5 linked regions of the Rattus norvegicus genome follow. The protein of the gene in region 1 interacts with the protein of each later gene in a biochemical or structural test. Links are inferred from orthologs where the notes say so. Each region holds a gene or a part of one and is shown on either strand. Other genes may lie near its edges.

Region 1 (4,121 bases):
CAACAAAAAGATGTATAATAAGCAATACTCTACATAATGAAGGGAAGTCTAAAAATTAAGAGATTAACTTTTTTCTGTCAACAATTAAAAATACAGAAATTAATTATTTTAAATAAATTTTGTAGATTTACTTAAATTGAGGGGGCAGGAAAAAAACTGTATTAATTCTAAGTTAATACGGTGTAACTTTTACTCTGCTTAATAATGTGACAGCAAGCTTAAAATATCCACTAAAAATGTAAGGAAAAAAAGTAAAGACCCTGATTTATATGGTAACTTTTATCAAAAGTACTCATCTATTTATGAAATATATCCTGTAAGTTAACTTACCACTGTTGTACAGTGAAAACCAACAAGTCTAAACTTATTTCATTCCTTTTACACATCCATTTTGTAAAAAACCTGAAATGAGCAACTGAAACTTGATTAGTTTACAGTCTGCCATAAACTATGGGTAACAACATATTCACATGGTACAACATATACCAGTTGTAAGAACATATATGTATAAGCAAATAATGGTATGTATTTCTGTGTGTGAAATACCACATACTTACAACTTCTAAGAGTCCATGTGGGCTGTACTTACTATATACAAGACATCTAATCTGAATGAAAGAAATCCTGACAGCCTAAGGATGCACTTCCCAGAACTCAATGAAGTATCACTGGGGCATTATCTAGCCTCAACCATGGCTGATTATTTTCAACGGGAACAACCTATGGTTATTTACTTACGAACTAGAAAACAAACAAAAAACAAAACAAAATCTCAGTTTCAATACTAGCTTATCACACACTATTACCATCTTCAGCTAATGATACAAAATTCTCTTCCTGCTTCTAATCCCCAATGCTAGCTCCAGAAAACACTGATCTTTTCCTTTTTCACATCTACTGCTAAGTCCTAAAGCTCTAGGAATAAATAGTACTGCATACAGTACTCAGTATATCTTGGACCAATGATGATTTCTCTACAGGTTCAAGTAGAGAAATCTAGAGATCAAAGAGTTGCAAACACAGATAAAGGTAGAACTGGTTACTCTGAAAAATATTAACTGGCCAAATATAAGCTCTTTCACTTTTTACCCAACAACAAAGACTCCAAGAAACAACAGAACCAAGAGCAAACATTTCCTAGAAAAATCAGTGTCACTGTTGACTTAAAAAAAAAAAAGGCAAAAAACAAGACAAAACAAAATCCCAACTAAGTCTGAATTCTGCTATAAAAAAAAAAAAAAAGAGGGAAGGATTCGGATTTGACAATCACTTGGGTGGTTGATTCAGTAGGGAAATTAAGCTCATAAACCTGGCTCACTGTCCAATTACAAAGGAAAACATAATAGTTACCTTTATTAGCGCTGTTTTTCCGGCATTTCTCACTTTCTGATGTAATCTCTTATTTAGAAAAATCACTCATAATGCAACTAATATCAAAATACCTCATTCACCCAATTATGCCCTACATGTTTACATAGAGCCCATTTATTTACATTAAGGTGCAAGTTTCTACACGCTGACACTATGTCCCTTGCAAAGCCACAATTTTGCATCGGTTGTAACTTCTTTGGTATGAGGAATTCAGAGGCCCTCAAGTTCTCCAGGTCAAAGTTACTTAACTCGTGGTCTTTCCTTTCCTCACAGCAAAGGGTACTTCAGGAAAAGCCTGCTCAAAAAGTGATGACAAAGGCCCCCTTTCCCTCCCACAGGACAGAATGCTTATGAGCCTTTGATGGGGAAAACAACTTCCTCCAGTTTTACTTTTAAAAATCTGCTCCACTGCTGGTTTGTCTATTTGACTTTTACCTGTTACTGTAGCGACATGAGCAAGTACGTCCAGTTTGTTACAACAGGACGTTTTAATTGCCTGCCACTGGCTATCTGATCGAGGCAAGACATCCAAAGTTACATACACTCCATCTACTAAACACCGCAAGCCTATGACTCAACGTAACGCCAAGACGAAAAGTTTCTGAAGAGAAAACGTTTGCTGTCGCTAAAGACGTACAAGGTAAAACAAGTCTGAGTGGCAACTATTCTTGGGGACTTCCTTGGCTAAGACACGGAAAAGCAAGAGCTCCTTCTGTGCCTGGCCCTTCAAAGAGTGGAGGGACGATTCTGAACCCGAGTGGGTCAAGTCCTTAGGAGGCTTGCAGGATCAAAGATGCTATAAATACTATGCTCGCTGCTAGTAGTGTTTTGCCAGTGGGTATTTCGTGGCATCTCTGTCAGTGAGTGGGGCAGTCGGATGGCAAGACCGCTCCTGACTAAGGAGTCGGGCGGAGGTGGACGATCCTTCCCCACCACCGTAAAAGCCAAGCCGGGTCCTTCTGGAAACCGCACGCTAAAAGTTACACACACGCCCCACGCGAGGGGTGCGGCGGCGGCAGCGCGCATCCCCTCAGGGCCGCGGCACCGAGGCCGGCGCGAAGGAGGCCCCGAGGCGGCCGGGGCGCGGGGAACGGCCCGGGAGGTAGCCGCGCCGGCCCCGCGCCGCCCCGTTGCCGGGAAGGCTCGCGCCCCGCCACCGGCGGCGGCCGTGGGGGAGGGGAGGCCGGCTGCGGCCTGTTGGCGGAGTTCAGCCCCGGCCTCGCGTGCGGCTCCCGGCCGCGGCTCCGGATCCCGGGCGCCGAGGACCGACTCACCGGAAAGGCCCGGATCCGCATCTTGGTGTCCTTCCGGCTGCCCGTGCCTTTGCTCAGATTCGACATGGTGCTCGGCCCCTCCCCGGCGGCGGCGGCGGCGGCTGCGGCTCGCACTCCGAGGCGCCGGTGTCACATTGAAGGCGGGAGGGCGGCCGCGGGGCTCGGCGGGGGGCGGCGGCGCGGCCCCCGGGCTGGGCTGGGCGGCGGGCCGGCCCCTGGGCGGCCGCGGCGGCGGGGGCGGCGGCTCGGGCTCGGGCGGCTCGGGCTCGGCCGGGGGCTGCGCTGGCGCGGCGGCTCCGCGGGCTTCCCCTCGCGCCGGGCTCGGCTCCCTTTATCGCGCTCCTCCGCGATGGCGGCGGCGGCGGCGACGGACAAACATCTCACTGCGCAGGCCGAACGTCCTCCTCCTCCTCCTTCTCCTCCTCCGCCTCAGCGAGACGAGATCCGGCCCAGAGGGTGGAGGGGGGAGGAGGGAGGGAGGAGAGCGGAGAGTGGAGAGATGGGGGGAGGGGGCGGGAGGACGGGAGGGGAGGCGGGAGGCCGCGGCGGGCACGTCCGATCTCGCGAGATCAGGGCGGGCGCAAGGCCGGGGGCGGGGCGGGGCGAAGCCCGGGAAGGGAGGGCGCGGGGAGAAGTAGGGGGGGTGGGGGGAGTTAGGAATGGGCGTAGTCAGCGCCCTGGGGGCGGGGCCTGGGGCAGGAGGCGTAGGCTGCGTTTTCAAAAGAGGAGCGTCGGAGACCCTGGTAGGCGGAGGTGGCTTCTGATTGGTGGAGCGCGAAGGTGAGGTGTCACGTGGGCAGTGGGCGGGGGAAGTTCCGAATGGGAAGTGGGGAGTGCTCTGTTGTGGGCTGGCGGGGCTGAGCTTGGCCCGAGCGGATTGCAGGTAGTCAGGGGAAAGGGTGTGGGGTGCGAGTAGGAAGGCTCCTATGTCCTAGAACTGTTCCTGTGTTTTTCTAGGGCACGTGGCCTAGGGATGGGTACTTGATCCCCGCCAGAAACCTGAAAGCAGTGTTTGTGCCTGAGTTACCTGCAGTCTATGAAACCAGTGTCCTGTATTTAGCTAGGTGTTGCAACGCCTCAGTATTGAGTCAACCCGGCTTTCTTACACTGCGCAAGCTCCGGGGCTTGTTGATTAGTTGGTACTTTCTGGAGAATCCAGAGCCCACTAATGTTAAAACCCGGTTTTTGTTTGAATTGAAATAAAACAAGTGCCTGATGTACCACAATATTTGTGTTAAACATATGACCATTTCCAAGAGCAGTATATATCATTAAAACCAAAATCACCGTGGCATTAAGCTTGCTGTAGGTTTGGAGACATTTTTTATTTGTTCGGGACCTCTTTTATCATCCTATAGTCGAAATGTCCAATTCTACTGCCTTTTGCTTCTAATTCAGAATGAATCCTACTTCTGATTTACCTACTTGCTCAATTGCTGTTTCCAACGACGCTGGGAAATCTGAGATTCTCCCAAA
Region 2 (4,111 bases), on another chromosome or scaffold:
TCTTATTTCAAAAGCCATCCTGTAAGGTCTAGAGAGACTGCCCAACACCTAAGAGGATCTGAGTTTCATTCCCCGCACTCAGTTGAGCAGCTCACGACCACCTATAACTCCAGTTCTATGGGATCCCAAGCCTTCATCTGATCTCTATGGCATCTATATGCACGTGCACATACCCACACATATATACACTTAAAAATAGTAAAAATAAGTTTTAAAGAATTGTCTGCTACATATACAAGTTCAATACTGTCTTAATTGTGTCAGGTCGTTTCCAGATCTTAAAACTCATCAAGAAATGTATATAAGAAATACTCAAGTTAATAAAAAATAATAATAATAAAAAAATTAAAAAAAAAAACTCATCAAGATGTTTACAATTGGGGGCTGGGGATTTAGCTCAGTGGTAGAAGCGCTTACCTAGGAAGCGCAAGGCCCTGGGTTCGATCCCCAGCTCCGGGAAAAAAAAAAAAAAACAAAAAACAAAACAAAAAAAAAAAAAAGATGTTTACAATTGGGTTATTAAAACACCCCTCCAATGACCATTCCAATTACTGATGGTTCATAGAATTCGATACACCACACACCAAAAAAAAAAAAAAAAAAAAATCTTAAAGCCCCCACTTTGGGAGTGATCACTAAGGAGAACTGGCAAAGGATGTGGCTGGTGGCTGGAAGTCCACAAACTCAGGAAGACATGTAATGGTCAAGAGAGAAGGACAGCTTGGCATCCAAAGGGCAAACAGCAGCCCCGTTTGCTTTACTTACATAAAAGTTAAGACATCACAGTTCCCCTTTGCTCACCTTTAGGGTTTCATTTCAGGTTCTGGCATGAGACTACTTCAACCTCAAATTCCACTAAGCTGCCATTCTTGATTTGCTTCCAAAAACAAAAAACAAAACCCTAATTCTTGGGCAAACCAAGTTGCCCAAGAAATATCAGTGCAGTTGTCTGTATTTTCTTCACAAGGGATGTATTTGTCTCTACTTAGTTTCCATACTTATGTAAGGATGTATATACTTCACCCTAGACTTCCATACACTGAATACACTCTAAATATTCCATGATAAACATTGCTTTAAAACGAATGTATGCAAGATGTTTCAAAACTAAGCATTCGTTCCGCAAGGCTACCAGATGCAGGGGAAAATTAACTCGGAGAAAGGCCAGGGCTTGGCCTGGGCTCGCCCTCTGCGGTGCCCAAGGAATCCAGGAATCTCCCGGAGAGAACGCATTGGGTCTCCGCGGCATAAAGCACGAGTTAGTCAAGCAAGGAGGTTCCAAGGGACGCGCTGCATTCTGGGACTCGTTTCCACAGTTACCCACGTGCACCCAATCCAACCGCGGCCCGGGCAGCTGAGACTACAAGTCCCAGAATTCCATGAGCCTGCCTTTCCCTTTACACCGGTTCCAGGAGCCAGACCCTAAAGGAAACCCCTAAAGGACCCTCCCGGTGCTTCGGGCGGAGGTAGCTTCTCGCACGCGCGTTGCTATGCCTCCAAAGCGGCCCTCCATACAGGTTAACAGGTCCTGACGCATCAGTCTCTACACCTGATAGTCAGAAATTAGGGAACTGCGTCACACACTGCCAAACCTACGGACCGCCGGGGACCCTGACACCTCTTACGCTAATTCCTCCACCCCGCCTCTAGGACCCCTGCAGGTCCGGTCAGCAAGCAGACAGCGGCCTCCGGGTCCTGTAATCCCAGCCCGCGTTGACCTCACTCCCGGTTGCTCGCTAAAAGTGGCAGCCACTGCCAGCCTCGGGACACCTCCCGAGTACCCGGCCCCGCCCCCTCTCCTCTGTGCACCCCGATGCTCAGGGTGGTCCCCTCCTAGGCTGGACCGGGCCTCTCCCGGGAGGAAGCACCTCCCCCAATGCACAGTTCAACGCTCCCCACCCCGCCCCAAGAGCACCGAACCCGAGGATGACAGCCCTCCCCATCCCGCTCCTCCCCACCTACTCTTCTTCCTAACTCACTCTGCACACCCTCCCCGACCCCTATCTCAGCCCACAAACTGCATCGCAGTCCTACCCACCATCCACTCCTCCAGGGACCCCCATCCCAACACCTGCCCCCAAGCCCTCTCGCCACTCCCGGCCGCCGTCCCGCACACCAGACTCCACAACTCTCCCATCCCACTGCAGTGTCTCCCACTCCGTGTCCGGGTTACATCAGCCCCCAACCCCTCACCCGCCCGGTCGCTGCCCCTGCTCCCCACCCATTGTTCCCGCCCCCGCCCCCAGCCCTCCTTCCTATTGTCCCCGCCCCCGCTCCTCTCGCACTCCCCCGCCTTCCCCGGTAGACTGCACAGCTCCGGCACCGCAAGCCTCACCCGGTACTCAGACCGTAGGGTCTCTCCCTGCCCGCTCGTACCACCCCTGACCCCATCTGCCAGCGCCCGCCGCGGTCTCCACCTCCGTGCACCACCGACTCCCGGCCCCCGGCCTTCAGAATATGTCCCCCCTCCCCCCACCGCGGAAAGCCAGCCAGTCCCCACCCCCTCCCCGCCGCCCCTGCCCCCGCCCCAGCCGCCCGCAGCGTCACGGCCCTCGGACTCCAGGAGGGGAACAGCTCGTTCCCGGGCCAGGGACTCCAGCGCGGTAGGAACCGGAGAAGTGGAGAAGGGAGCACGGGAGCGGACCGGGTGTGCGGGCCCGCGCCGGCCCGCTGGCTCTGTGCTACTCACTGACAGCTGCAGCATCCGAGTGCATTTTCGGGCAGCTCACACCCGCCTGCCGCCCGGGCTCCCGCGCTCCACTCGCGGTCCCCCTACCGACTCCCCAAACCTTAGCTCTCAACAGAGGACCGGCGGCTCCTACTCCGACCCGCCCATCCCGCCTTTCTCATTGGCTAGACCACCACCGAGGGACCGCCCCTCTTCGGCTCTCATTTGACCGAAGGAGTGCAGGTTGCGCCGCCTGCAGCAGGCAAAAGGACCCCGCCCCCTAGACTGCAACGTGATTGGCCCCGGCTCCTCACCTCGGACCGCCCCTGGTAGAGGCCACTATTCGGAGCCGCAGGTTGGACCCAACGGCTGTCAGTCATTCAAGGGTCCGAAAGCGCGTGGAGGGGCGAGACAGGGGACTTGGTCTATCTTGACCCTGAAGCCCCGCCCTGTGGCGGGCGGGTCCTGGAGCGGGAGACCAACAGAGAGACCAACGGAGAACCTAGGTTAAGCATCCGAAACAAAGCGGGCGGAGGGACCCGGAGCCAAGCTGGGGGCCACAGGGACCGGTGCTCCCTGGTAGGCGGTCGGCCAGATCCTGATCCTGCCCGTGCCCCGGTCGCGCCAGTTCTCATCAATCGTTTCCCATCGCGGGAAATTAGGAAAAAAAAAAAAAAAGCCTCCGCTTTCCTCCCTTTTATGCCACAACCTTTCTGTCCCCAACTTTGGAAATGCGCCTCCTTTTTTTAGAGTCAATTATTCAGAGTTGTGCATTGCTTGCGCCAAAGGTTTCGAATGCGCAGGCATTGTCCGTCCGACACTTCTATGCTCCCCAGACAGCGAGAGAAAAACCCAGTGCCACATTAGGCTCTGGGGTCAGTCAGCCTGTCACCAGGACAAGCTAGGTCCCCTGACTATACGTCTAAGAAACATAAGTTGAACCTGGCCAAACCGCTGTTTAACAGAGGAAAGCGTTAATAGGGTTGTGATTGTTAAGTGTCTTGAATCAAAATACTGCTTTTGTTGTTGTTTCTTTACGTTTTTCAGTACTTGAAAACCAATTCTCCTCAATCACTATGGTAATGCAATAACGCAAAGAGATGCTGGAGGACGGGCGCCCCGCCCCCACCGCGAACACACTCTCCACTTGGGAACCTCCAACAGCCCTTGCCCCAAGCACAGCCTGGACTGCCTATAGATTCTGCCACAGACATTGGATGATACGTCCAAAAATAACAAAGGGGTCCGGTCCAGCGTTAGTATTCTGAATTCTACCGCCTTGGCTCTTGAGTTGCAGAGTTCCGAAATCTGGACGGATGTTTGGACGGATGTTACAATAGCGAAGTAGCTGACAGTCCTTGTCATCTACATTACTGTGTTACTGGGATGTGTTCCATCCCATCACCCTCTATTTCTCTGTAATTAAGTTGAATCCCTGTAATG
Region 3 (3,951 bases), on another chromosome or scaffold:
AATGTCAAGAGTTAAAAATAAATATTTAATTCCATCTTAAAATACTCAAGGAAGTCCTAATAGGAGCTAATAGAATCAAGCATTCAAGGAAAAAAAAAAATATATATATATATACATGCATAATGACCATCTTTATGGTGTCTAGTAACCTTTATAAAGTGAAATAAGATGAAACTTTCTGATTCTATATAATGCATTTTTAATAATGGGTCAACGTTTTAAATAGAGGTCAGCCAAAAAAAAAAATTTCTCTATATTTAATTTGGGTTAGTGGTTGTCTTGGGATACCAGTAATAGCATTTATTTCCCCTGATCTAGAAAGAATCTATTCTGCTACCAAACCATTTTTAAATTGTACAATTGGGATCACTGGTGTTCCCAATAGCAAAGTTGCTACCCCCTTTTCAAACTAGTCTAGCCTTGCATACAGTTAGCTTAACTTGACAAGTTAGGATGCCATCACTTAAAAGAGTAACATGGTTAGTATAATAACAAGGCAACGACTACTATGTGTTTTAGCTTTAAGCAAATACTTCTGAGAATAATAATGATAAAAGAAAAACAAAAACATAAAAGTAGGAAAGCAGGTAAGAGATTAGCTTTAGTATTAAGACTAGACCTGTTCTAAGGAAGAAAAGTTGTCAGATATGTTCATGGCACTAAATTCTGAGCCAATCCCTAACCCTTTAGCCTTGACCCTAATCCCAGTAAACATAACAGGTCAGGAACAAGGAATAAACCACAGCTTCTAAATGCAAATGATATGGTATCCTGTTAAATGAATTTCATTACCTGCATACTCATAAAACCAAGCCAGGCACTTCTTTCTTGAAAAATCTTCCTCTCCACTGATGAGTCTAGCAGGAGGCTGGGATCTGCAATAGCTTAGAAACACGTAAATGTCTAAGGCTTAATAAGACTCAACTTTAGTACAAAAGTAGCTTCAACAAGAATAGCTTCCATGTAAACAAAATAGTGGTTTATAAGTCAGCATTATGGGGAAAGGATTAGCAATAAGGACCTGCACTCAATGAAATCCAAATGCTACTTTGTTTGCTACCAGATTCCAAAAATAGTGCCTAAAATGATTTCCTTAGATTTCAAGATAATAAAGAAGTGCAGTCTAAGTCTCAACCCAAGACTAGACAAGAAAGTATAAACCTCTCTCCCTAAACTACTCATGTTGGGCTTGCTCTCTACCACTAAGCTATAGACCTTATCGAATGCCTGAAGACTTACTTCCATTTTGCCACTGATTTGTATGAAGATCTCTGTTAAAATTTAGGCTGAATCACTGGATACTGCCCAGCTAGCTGTTTTAACTGGTTTAAGTTAAACATCTTAGATATAGTTTTCCAAGAGCTAAGGTCAAGAGAAATGTTAACCACCAAAGGGCATAATGAAAACTGAATCTTATACATCACCCAAGAAATATCACCTAGACTCTTTTGCTAAAACACACTAAGGGCGGGAGAGGGGGGCACAAAGCAATTGATTACAAAAAGATTAGGATGAAACCAGTCACTTCTTTCATATTTTAAGCAGTGCATTCCTCACTGCATCTCTCCTTAAAGAGAAATCTTCTTTGTGTAGTGCTGGCTGTCTTGTTTTAATGGTAGTATTTTGTCACTTTATGTGTCAACCATTAATACAAAACAACCCATAGAGTATGGGAAGAAGCACACTTCTCAAAGTTAAATCGCAATAACTTTCAGAGCAATAATGATTCTGTGATGATTGAATGTATGCCATAAAGGGAGTGAATGGCTTTAACTTCAGTTTTGCTTTGTTTTCTTTTCCTCTAAGAGAACACAGAACACAATAGCTTGCAAACACCTAAAAGGGGACTGAGAGCTACTATCTACTTAATGCTACAAAACAAAAACCACAAGGGCCTTTTCCAACTCTGTGTAGGGAACTGGTACAGGTGGAGGCATGGTGCCTCTAGAAGCTGAGCCTCCAGCTATTTAAAAGGTCTCCTGCTGGGATCATCCACGTTAGGCCACTTCTAATACTAACTCAGGAGACCAATTATAGCATAGGCTTCCTTTCCACCATTCCCAAGGCAGCTGTCAAACTCTTCAAGCTCTGCTCCTTTCTTCACACCCTGATATTTAACAATGTGTGGGCCAAGCCAATTCTGCTTGTGAGACACAGGGACGCGATGAATCTTGGCAGATCCGCACTCACTTCTCGGTTGGGAAATTGGATGGAGAAGGCATACGTATGGTCGTCTGTTTCCTACCCTCTGGGCACGCAGACAACAAAGTGGGGTGAATCTCAGAGCTTGTCCAAGTACGCCAGAGCTCACGCACAGGCGAACACGAGGTTCGGTCCCGCGCGGAGCGGAGACTCTGGGCGCCTCACCGACCGCCTCGCCCGAGAGGGCTCGCCTCTCTCGTCTAGGCTAGCGGCTGGCGGCCTGTCCCGCAACGGGGAAAGGAGAGAGCTTGCGGGGTGGGGGCAGGCGGTACCTGGAGATTTTACACTTTTTGAGGCCCGCGTCTTCCGCGACCGCCGCTGCCACTCCGGGAGCTTTTCTCTTCTTCTTCACTGGCATCTTCCGCCTTCCCCGGCAAGGTGGACAGGGCGGCCGGGGAGGGGTATCGCGCTCCGCCGCAGGCCCCGCAGCGCCGGCTCCCGCCTGCCAGGGACCGCAGCGGAGGACCGAGGCGCGACCTCGCCTCGGGTTTCCTCTTTAGGGGCGATTCGGGGCAGCGCAGCGCTAAGCCCGGCGATAACGCGGCTCGGGCTTTTCCAGGGGAAGCGAACGCCGACAGCGCGGCACCTTCAGTAGTCGCGAAGAGCAGGCGGCTCAGCCTGACCCGGAAGCGGATGGCTCAGGACCGGAAGTGACGCAGCAAGGAAGCTTGCCGAGCCGGAGTGGTCTCCCTACCTATGGGCCTTTAGGATTTGCGTCTCTGCAGGTGGAGCCTCAGTCTCCCGAGTTTTTCGGGCGAGTTTCCAGAGGGAAGTCCTTTATAAAAATCATGAACGCTCCACAGCTGGCGAGCGAAGTAATCTGGTGAGGAGCCACGCGTGAATGTGCCCACTCCTGACCTACAGCGTCTCCAGCCCTTTGGGTGTTCTTGGTGGGCCTGAGATCAGTGTCTCACGCTCCTTGTCCTTTTCTCCCTCATGCTCAGTGTCAGTTTATGGCTTCCTCCTGTGCTGAGGCAACGCCTCCATGTTTTACTTCTGAGGAACTCTCCTCGTGGATAAGAGACTGGAAAACTGACTAACTTATACAAAGGGTTTGGGAAACCATTCTAATGGACCGCTCTCAAGAAACAGGAATCATGTTACTTCTAATGGAAATATTGTTTATAAGAAGGGTATGGTTCGGTCCCCAGCTCCGAAAAAAAGAAAAGAAAAAAAAAAAGAAAAAAAAAAAAAAAAAAAAAGAAGGGTATGGTATGTCTAGTTATCTCCTAGAAGATTCTTAGTGAATGAAGTTCATGTCTGTAAGCCAACTGTGCTACCATAGTAGGACCCTAATCTAGTCAGAGTTAAGGAGAAAGAGAAAAAACGGTTGTTGTAATGAGTTCTGGACATATAGTTAATATATTTTACCAATGAAAATAATTTTCAAACCTATACTCCATTCAACCCTATTATAAACACTGCACAAAGCATTGTTTTTATATGAAAATTACAAGATCTAAGCTCTAAAACAGAACTCCCTATAGAAGAAAGTAGACAACTGAAAGATGAAGATTTTTTTTTAAATATGTATTTATTATTGGGGCAATTGTGTACCAGTGCTGGGATGACAACTTGACAGTTCATTTTTCTCTATCTTGTGACTCTTGAGGTGGAATTCAGGTTGTTAGGCTTGGGAAGGGACATTATGTCTGTATACAGAAGCACCTAGTTATGTGATTTACTTTTTTCTGTTGCTCGTGATAGTTCTTGATTTTCACCAAGCTATATAATGAGAACCTATGACAG
Region 4 (3,973 bases), on another chromosome or scaffold:
CACTGCCACAATCCGACTTTCCTTTATAAAATCCCAGTACCGAGAAGGGGAACTAGGCACAAAGTCTCACTCCAACCAAGAACTTATTTGCAACCGAGAGTTGCTGAGAGAGGAGAATTCGGGTTTCACTGAGTATATCAACCACAGTCTAGGGCAGGCCCCAGGCCCAAGAGTGGCCAGCCAATACAAAATATACTCCATGTTTTTGTTGTCGTGTGGGTGTGTGGGGGTGTGTTTAAGAGGAAGAAAGAACAGGAACTCGAATGAGTGAGAAGTAGGGAGGAGCTGGGAGGAGTTGGGTGGAAGGAAAGAACATGATCACTCTATTATAAAATTAAAATAAAATTTAATTTAAAAAAATTAAGTTCTTATTTTAGCAATTACATAAGACATGGCATTTATGGCAACCAAGGATGAGACAAAATCCGTGGCTTTTATAATCATTTTAGAGAATGAAGTGGTGAAGCACTTAATAAATGTGTGGTTAGTTTCTTGTAGTATGTTACAGTCTAATACTTTCTGCTATGGGGTAAGACAGAAGTAAGATGACAGAATGCGTCACCTCTGTGACGTCTTCTCACGTGGACATCTTAAAGCATCACTGAACACGTACTAATGCTGTATCATGGACACATACACTGGCAAAGTTAACAGGACAAGAGAGAGAGGAAGAGTTCAAAGCCGGGTGATGTATCAATAACAAATCTGAAAAAGGATCCTCAGATTCTCGCTTGTGACCTTGATCTTGGGATCCTGCTGCCTCTGCCTTAAGGTGCTGGGGATTTGCAGGTTTGCTGGTCATAGCAGCTCCATTCCCAGTTCTCAGTCCTGTCCTTATGGTGGACTGCATGCCTCTTTCTATAGGGTCTCTGTGTTCTTTATCTCCCATGTTAAGTAACATACGACAAAACAGAGTTTGATAACCATAATACAAGTTTAAACACTGACTGAATAGAATTGACTTGTTTCAATAAAGATTCTAGTACAATTTCTCAGACAGATTGAGAAAAGGCGTTAGTAAGTTCTAGAGGCAAGAGAGCCTACATACTTTTTCACACTTCTATTTTTCTACATCTATTTTAGTCCTTAATCTTCACTGTAACGCAGCTATTTTAGTAAACATATTATTGAACACCAGTAAAAATAATCAAACCATAACTAGGAATGCAGCACAGCGTCTTACAATATTTACTTTTACTTGGCAACAGAATCTTCTATATTGCACAAGGTACTAAATTTATGGTAAGCTCACAAAGTATTATAGTACACTTGACGGTTAAGTGTAACAAAAATTGCTACGCAAAAGGTTAGATTTAAATATTAAGAACTAGAAAACCCAAACTCTTTAGAAATCTAACTCCTACATTCCATTATCAAGCTGTGGAATATGGTGGCGTACACCTTTAACTCAGCATTTGAAAGATAGAGGCAGGTGGATCTCTGTGAGTTCGAGGACAACTTGGTTTACAGAGCATGCTCCAAAACAGCTGAGACCACACAATAAGTTCTTGTTTCAAAACAAACAAGCAAACAATCCCCCCAAAACAAAAACGATACAACACCAACCAACCAAAGTTGCTAATTTCTGACATCACTAGTTTTGATTTACTTGAAACGAGAATGATAAATTCCAAGCAGGATTTGTGACTAACGTTAAATGACGCACTGTCGGTAGACGCTAAATTCCAACCACTGACATTAATGTATCTTATTCCTAAAAGGCTTACCTGCGCATTGGCTTTCCTTCCATGCACCATGAAAAGTATCCTTCACCGTATTCTAAAGCCGTACCTTCAACAAGAGAAAAGTAGTAGCTTACTAAAAACTGTTCGAATTCTCCAGCAACTTATATAAATTGTTTCACTCATTTCGTCTGTAATCAAGAATCTCACATCCTAATATAATTTTTGCATGGATGCACAATCATAATGTAATGCCTTTAAGATGGCTATCGCTAACTAAAGATGCTAAGGTGATAGATTATATGTGAATGTGAGGGTAAGTGGAAAAGCAGTCAGGATCATAGTAGTCATGATCGCTAGTCGGTGTTGTCTGTTCAAGATGCACTTGGAGTTTTTTTGGTTTTTTTTTTTTTTTTTTTTTTTTTTTGTTTAACTTCACCATCAAGTATATTTGCAGAGTAATCACTTCTCACCCACAGCAGTACTAATTTAATGACTCGGATAGGAAACGCATTGTTTTAGCACTGGATCTGAAGGTTGTTAACTGATTCTGAAGTGACAGCCAGGCCAAGGCATTTGCCTTTAAAAACAACTCCACTTCCGACTAGCCCGGGCAGCTTGAACAAGGGCGGGGAAAGTACTTCTAGACTACAACTCTCACAAGCTCTCGTCTTAGTCGCAGAAATACTGTTCACCATCAGGATCCTACTGGCTTCCAAAGGTAAAATGGGAGGCTTAGTGCTCGCTCCCTTGGAATTCCAAGTGAAGCTGTCCAGGATGTGGAGCCCTAGCGTCCCCAGAAAGCATGGCACAGGCTTCCCCTGGCTTCAAGACACCTTGACGGACGGCAGTAGCGCAGTCTGGAGCCCTGCAAGGCCCGACCAAGGAGCCCCACAGTCCCTCTGAGGCGCTCACTGACAGGCAATCTAGAAAGCACTGACCCCACTGGGCAGTTCGGCAAGTTGAGATCATAGATCTGCAAAGCGAGACCTGGGACTCTGTTCTCCATCCCCTGCTCTAAGGCTCTCACTTACTGGCTTTGACACTTTTTTCTCTGCGGCACCCTTCTCTGCCTTCTCCACCCTCTCTGCCTCCACCTCAGGAGCCGATAGCGCAGGCAGGATGCGGCTCCCGCAGCTATTTCCTTTCCCTATACCCGCCCCCCACCCCCCCATCCAGAAGCAGGAAGTGGTCCTATCACTAAATCCTTCCCATGGAACTGCACACGTTCCGGCAAGTGGTTCCGGTGTGGCTCCGGAAGTAGCTGCTCCTTTCGCTGAGCGTTTCCCAGGACTAGTAGTACTATTAGTCCAACTGATTTTTACAATATATTTAGAAAGCAAGCAAATTCTAGTTCTATGATAAACTTTGTCTTTTGGGCCAGTTTTTTTCTGCATATGTACCTGTGATATATAAGTAATATGTATACTAGTAACAGCAATGGATATTCCATTTATTATCAAATACTTAATATATAACATTGTGTATTAGTTTTTCAGTTCTAACGTCTCTCCTATTGAAGAAGGATTTATTACCATTTTTCCAAGTGGTGGTACCAAAGCATTATATTTCAGATAGTACCATTCCAGTTGGTACCAAAGCATTATGTAACCTGCAAAAGGGCAAAGGGCATAGCATGTAAGGGTTAGAGCCACGACTTGATGCCACGTACAATGGTTCTAGAATCTGGCCACAATTATGTTGTGTCTTCCTCCAGAATGGTTCAAGGATTCTTGCTGGTCTATATTATTGGTACTTTCAACTTCAATATTTTTCCAATCTGATGGTTATAAAATGATTTAGATCCATTGAAATGGCATATTTTTTTTCCTTTTCTTTCTTTTTTTTTTCTTTTCTTTTTTTCGGAGCTGGGGACTGAACCCAGGGCCTTGCGTTTGCTAGGCAAGCGCTCTACCACTGAGCTAAATCCCCAACCCCCTGAAATGGCATCTTATACGTGCACCTCTCAGGTTTCTTTTGTGTGGATTGTCTAAAAGTCATCGTCAAAGCGACTCAGGTTCTTCCAAAATATGAGTTATGATTTTAATTCTTTATCACTATACATCTCAATAACAAGGGCGTTATAAAAACATTAAGGACTGGTAATGACTAAAGATGGGCTTTTAAGCCTATAACCAGGGTAAAAGTGATATTGCCTATTTTTATCAACCCATTGATTCATTCTTAACCTACTGTCTACTGTAATCTGGCTTGTGCTTCAACTACTCTGTTTCTTTTTTAAAGGGAGGAGTTTAATGTGAATCAGCTCTTCATAATTATGTCAAGATCTA
Region 5 (3,955 bases), on another chromosome or scaffold:
CCCTTCTCCCATCTTGCAGAGCAGACCCGTGCCAGCCAGTTGTCTCACCCCCAAACTTCAGTTCTAGCATATATGGGAGCCAAGTGGCACCAGGGCAACCAGTACCTAAACTTAACCTTCTGGATGTTCACGCCTTAAGCGGACTCCTCATCACCAAGACTGGTGTCCACAGCACTCTGGCTTCTGCCCCTCTGGACTTTGTTCTTGTCTTGATCTACCCCTCCCCTCTGTCCGTCCTTGCAGACCAGGGACCATCGGGACCTGCCCAACAAGCCCTATAAGCCAGGGTTGTCTTTACAATCCCTCATCCCCCTAAGCCTTGCCGTCCAGACTGACTCCAGCATTGGGAAGGAGTTGATATGTCTGCGTCTGCTTGCTCTTGGGTGTGGGCAACTGGAAGGTGCAGGGGGCTGGGTGGAGGAGGACTGAGCTTACTGTGGGAGCTCTGGCCTGATCCTTAACAACCCTGGGAAACGCACAGGAAACGGACTGGACTCTAGTATGGAATCCACCACACAGTCCCTTTACTTCTGTGACCACATCTGTGCCATTGTGTTTGTGATACCAATCCAGCAGGGCTTCGGGAAGCTTAAAGGGGTAATATGTATGTTCACACAGCTTCTGCCACACAGCCAGCAACCAACTACATGTCCTCAGAGAATTTAGGAGGAGGTAAAGACTTCATCCCTGTGATCTTTACCACACACAGGACAAAAAGAAACACTGCTGCTTTGGCTCAGTAGTTTAGCATACCAGAGGCCCAGGTTTCCAACTCCAGTAAAACACACGCACATGCGCATGCATGGGTATGCACACACGCACATGCTCATTCACACACAGGCACGTGTGCCTATTTTTAAAAGTAGGTTCAGGTAAATATAGGAATCTCTGGAGGAAGAAAGTTCTTCTCAGGACAGGTATTCCTCAGCTGCCCCACCACCACCACCACCACCACGGAGAACAATTGGGGGGAATAGCCAATTGAGGGAATCACTGTTTTTCCAGGGCCCCAGACTTCTGCAAACCAAGCAGTTTGGCCACAAGGAGATACCAAGTGATAGATCGCCAAGAAAGGTAATGTGGGGCGGGACATGCTGTCGGAGCAGCACCAGGACAAGCGCAGAGCATCCCAGCCCTGGCTCCAGACTACAGCTCCCGGCATGCCCCACACCTGGTACCCGCCCGCTGCGTGCGGAGGGAAGGATGCAGACACCGCGGCCGGCGATGAGGATGGAGGCCGGGGAGGCAGCGCCACCGGTGGGGGCGGGCGGCCGCTCTGGGGGCGGCTGGGGCAAGTGGGTGCGGCTGAATGTGGGGGGCACGGTGTTCCTGACCACCCGCCAGACGCTGTGCCGGGAGCAGAAGTCCTTCCTCAGCCGCCTGTGCCAAGGCGAAGAGCTGCAATCGGACAGGGTGAGCCTTGAGCCCGCTGACGGGAGGTGACCTGGCCCCGCTCTCCCTTCTGTCCCGCTTGCGCGTCCCTCGGCCTCTGGCTTTCCTAGGATTCTGAGGCGGGGAGCCGAGGCAGGAGGAGGGGGAGGAAACGGAGCCTAGAGGAATAGCTATGCCCATTGCCGTGGCAACGGGACAGCACAGGCCGCAGCCATTTGGAGCTGTGGAGCGCTGCCCTGGATCCCGGACGCTTCCTTACTAAGGAGCGCTGGGGAGGGACCGACAAAGCGGGCCTGCCTTACTGCCCTGGCTGACTCTTAAAGAAGTTGATGCGGCTGCTTCTCCCCGCCCTTGGGGTGTGGGCAGCTGAAGAGTGCAAGGAACTGGGTGGAGAAGGCCTAGGTGTCTTGGAGCTGAGCTTAATGTGGGGAAGAGCACTGGCTTTGAGATTCCACTTGTGGGCTCACCCTGCTGGGAGGAGGAGTGACCTGGGAAGAGAAGGGAACTTCCCTGCTCTGACTTTGGCCTCCTCATGTGCAAGGCCTCTGGAGTTAGCTTGTCAAAGTTCCCTGTCCCCCATTCTGTGGCCCTCTTACACTGTGTCCTTGGGTGAGTCCCCTGCTTCTTGATGTCTCAGTCTTCTGTGCTAGGTTGTACAGATGCCAGTCCCTGCAGGCTGCAAGTGTCCAATCAGAGTGTAGCTTTTTTGGACACTTGCAAACATCTAGTGGATAGTAGGGTTGCCTGGGGGGAACAGCCTCCAAGAGGGAAACTTTCCTAAGAGGGAAATTCACTGGGTCCTGTGCTGAGTGAGGTGGGGGTCACTCAGAAATCTGGTCACCCTCTATGCTCACATCTAATCCTCTGATAACAGGGTGGGGGGGCGGGATAAGGGAGGGTAGATGCTCCAGAGACCAGATGATTGGCTCAAGGTCACACAGCCCAGAAAAGGCAGAGGTAGAGTTTGCACCCAGATCCTTACTGCTCTATCTCTCTCCGCTTCCTCTCTTCTATAGTCATTTTCCAATCTGTAGTGACTTGAGCTTATATGGGGGAGGGGGCGCTGATTTGGGGAAGCTTGCACACCTCTCAGTGCCTGTGGTCCTCTCCTCCACAGGATGAGACCGGGGCCTACCTCATTGACCGTGACCCCACCTACTTCGGGCCCATATTGAACTTCCTCAGGCATGGCAAATTGGTGCTGGACAAGGACATGGCTGAGGAGGGTGAGTTGGTCCATTGCACTGGTCTGGGTCTCTCTACAGCCTACCAGAGCCTTCAGGGGAGGCCTAAAACTCCACTTGTAGCCAGGACAGCATCTATGTTTCTCCATTATTTTCTGCCTGTCCTAGAGTGGAGTCCCATTCTCCAGGTCTCTGCCACACTGACAGATCCCAGTGGTCACTGGGAAAATGATGTGGAAACAGGAAGTGGTCAAAAGGAACCAGCAAGGTCCCAAAACATCTGATGCCTTTGGGAATGAATGACCCCTCTCCTTGGCCTTCTGGCAAGCCAGGTGTGGCCTGTGACGCCACAGGAAGAGTTATGTCTCCTTTCTCTGCCTTATTCTGTGTCTCCCAAGCAGGGGCTTGCCATCAGCCAGTAGGTGAAATTTGTGATTCTAGAAGCTGGCAGCCTCTACGGCCCAGTGGCTTGTTGGGGAGGTGGGGTGCTATTCCTAGTAAAAGTTTGGCTTTTCCCAGACCTCTGAAGACTCATAGCCGGGCCCAGCTGTTGTGGAAGCAGAGTGGCGAATGGGTCAGAGCAGGGACTGCATTCATCCCCAAACCACCAGCTCTCCTCAGACTTGACTGAGCTCTGGATCAAGTCAGGCTGGCTCAGATATGTCAGTTTTCTTTGAGTCTCTTGGTGTCTACAAAAAAACAAAACAAAACAAAAAAAAACACATCATGACCCACATTCAGAAGAGATGGGTCCTGTGTACCTGTAGGTGTTTACACAGCCCTTGCTCTAGGCAATGGTCTTCTCTGGCTGACCCCAGTGGAGTACGGTGATCCGAAGGCTCCCCAAAGGACATCATGCTCAGAGCTTACTGTAGCCTACTGATAGCTGCCTTGCAGTCCAAGGGGAGCAGATCACGAGGGCGGGGCCTGTCAGGAGCAGGTCCCTCTGGGAGGTTCATACTCCAACTGCAGCATAGCCAATACCTGCCTACCGGTTCCAGCTCCTCAGAGCTCTGGTACTCTCATAGCCTCAGATGGGGTGGGGGAGTATCTGGAGAGACGGAGCTCAGGAAGAAGTGGTGTGGCAGTGTGTCTTAGTTCCGGTTTACTGCTGTGAACAGACACCATAACCAAGGCAATCTTACAAGGACATTTAATTGGAGCTGGCTTACAGGTTCAGAGGTTCAGTTCATTATCATCAAGGAGGGAGCATGGCAGAGTCCAGGCAGGCCTGGGGCAGGAGGAGCTGAGAGTTCTAGCTCTTTATCTGAAAGCTGCTAACAGAATACTGGCTTCCCAGGCAGCTAGGACAAGGGTATTAAAGCCCATGCCCACAAGGCCACACCTTTTCCAACAAGGCCACCTTTCCCAACAGTGCC

The links. The genes of interacting proteins can lie anywhere in the genome.
Region 2: the proteins of Cul3 (region 1) and Dcun1d4 form a complex in vitro, tested with the Homo sapiens proteins (2 studies listed by BioGRID, with this or other methods). The link is inferred for Rattus norvegicus from reciprocal best matches to the Homo sapiens genes CUL3 and DCUN1D4.
Region 3: the proteins of Cul3 (region 1) and Dcun1d5 form a complex in vitro, tested with the Homo sapiens proteins (2 studies listed by BioGRID, with this or other methods). The link is inferred for Rattus norvegicus from reciprocal best matches to the Homo sapiens genes CUL3 and DCUN1D5.
Region 4: the proteins of Cul3 (region 1) and Klhl20 form a complex in vitro, tested with the Homo sapiens proteins (2 studies listed by BioGRID and IntAct). The link is inferred for Rattus norvegicus from reciprocal best matches to the Homo sapiens genes CUL3 and KLHL20.
Region 5: the proteins of Cul3 (region 1) and Kctd17 form a complex in vitro, tested with the Homo sapiens proteins (3 studies listed by BioGRID). The link is inferred for Rattus norvegicus from reciprocal best matches to the Homo sapiens genes CUL3 and KCTD17.

Annotation. Positions count from the first base shown.
Region 1 is NC_086027.1:89,115,628-89,119,748, forward strand, and holds the start of Cul3 (cullin-3), read right to left. Parts: upstream 2,801-4,121; 5' UTR 2,712-2,800; coding exon 2,646-2,711; intron 2,636-2,645; exon of another isoform or gene 1,351-2,635; intron 1-1,350. UniProt on the Homo sapiens protein: Core component of multiple cullin-RING-based BCR (BTB-CUL3-RBX1) E3 ubiquitin-protein ligase complexes which mediate the ubiquitination and subsequent proteasomal degradation of target proteins.
Region 2 is NC_086032.1:35,074,490-35,078,600, forward strand, and holds the start of Dcun1d4 (DCN1-like protein 4), read right to left. Parts: upstream 2,801-4,111; 5' UTR 2,715-2,800; coding exon 2,690-2,714; intron 1,847-2,689; exon of another isoform or gene 802-1,846; intron 1-801. UniProt on the Homo sapiens protein: Contributes to the neddylation of all cullins by transferring NEDD8 from N-terminally acetylated NEDD8-conjugating E2s enzyme to different cullin C-terminal domain-RBX complexes which are necessary for the activation of cullin-RING E3 ubiquitin ligases (CRLs).
Region 3 is NC_086026.1:12,696,009-12,699,959, reverse strand, and holds the start of Dcun1d5 (DCN1-like protein 5), read right to left. Parts: upstream 2,801-3,951; 5' UTR 2,561-2,800; coding exon 2,475-2,560; intron 885-2,474; coding exon 793-884; intron 1-792. UniProt on the Homo sapiens protein: Contributes to the neddylation of all cullins by transferring NEDD8 from N-terminally acetylated NEDD8-conjugating E2s enzyme to different cullin C-terminal domain-RBX complexes which is necessary for the activation of cullin-RING E3 ubiquitin ligases (CRLs).
Region 4 is NC_086031.1:75,938,841-75,942,813, forward strand, and holds the start of Klhl20 (kelch-like protein 20), read right to left. Parts: upstream 2,801-3,973; 5' UTR 2,717-2,800; exon of another isoform or gene 2,655-2,716; coding exon of another isoform or gene 2,624-2,654; intron 1,792-2,623; coding exon of another isoform or gene 1,751-1,791; coding exon 1,728-1,750; intron 1-1,727. UniProt on the Homo sapiens protein: Substrate-specific adapter of a BCR (BTB-CUL3-RBX1) E3 ubiquitin-protein ligase complex involved in interferon response and anterograde Golgi to endosome transport.
Region 5 is NC_086025.1:111,858,401-111,862,355, forward strand, and holds the start of Kctd17 (BTB/POZ domain-containing protein KCTD17), read left to right. Parts: upstream 1-1,155; 5' UTR 1,156-1,203; coding exon 1,204-1,413; intron 1,414-2,509; coding exon 2,510-2,618; intron 2,619-3,955. UniProt on the Homo sapiens protein: Substrate-adapter for CUL3-RING ubiquitin ligase complexes which mediates the ubiquitination and subsequent proteasomal degradation of TCHP, a protein involved in ciliogenesis down-regulation.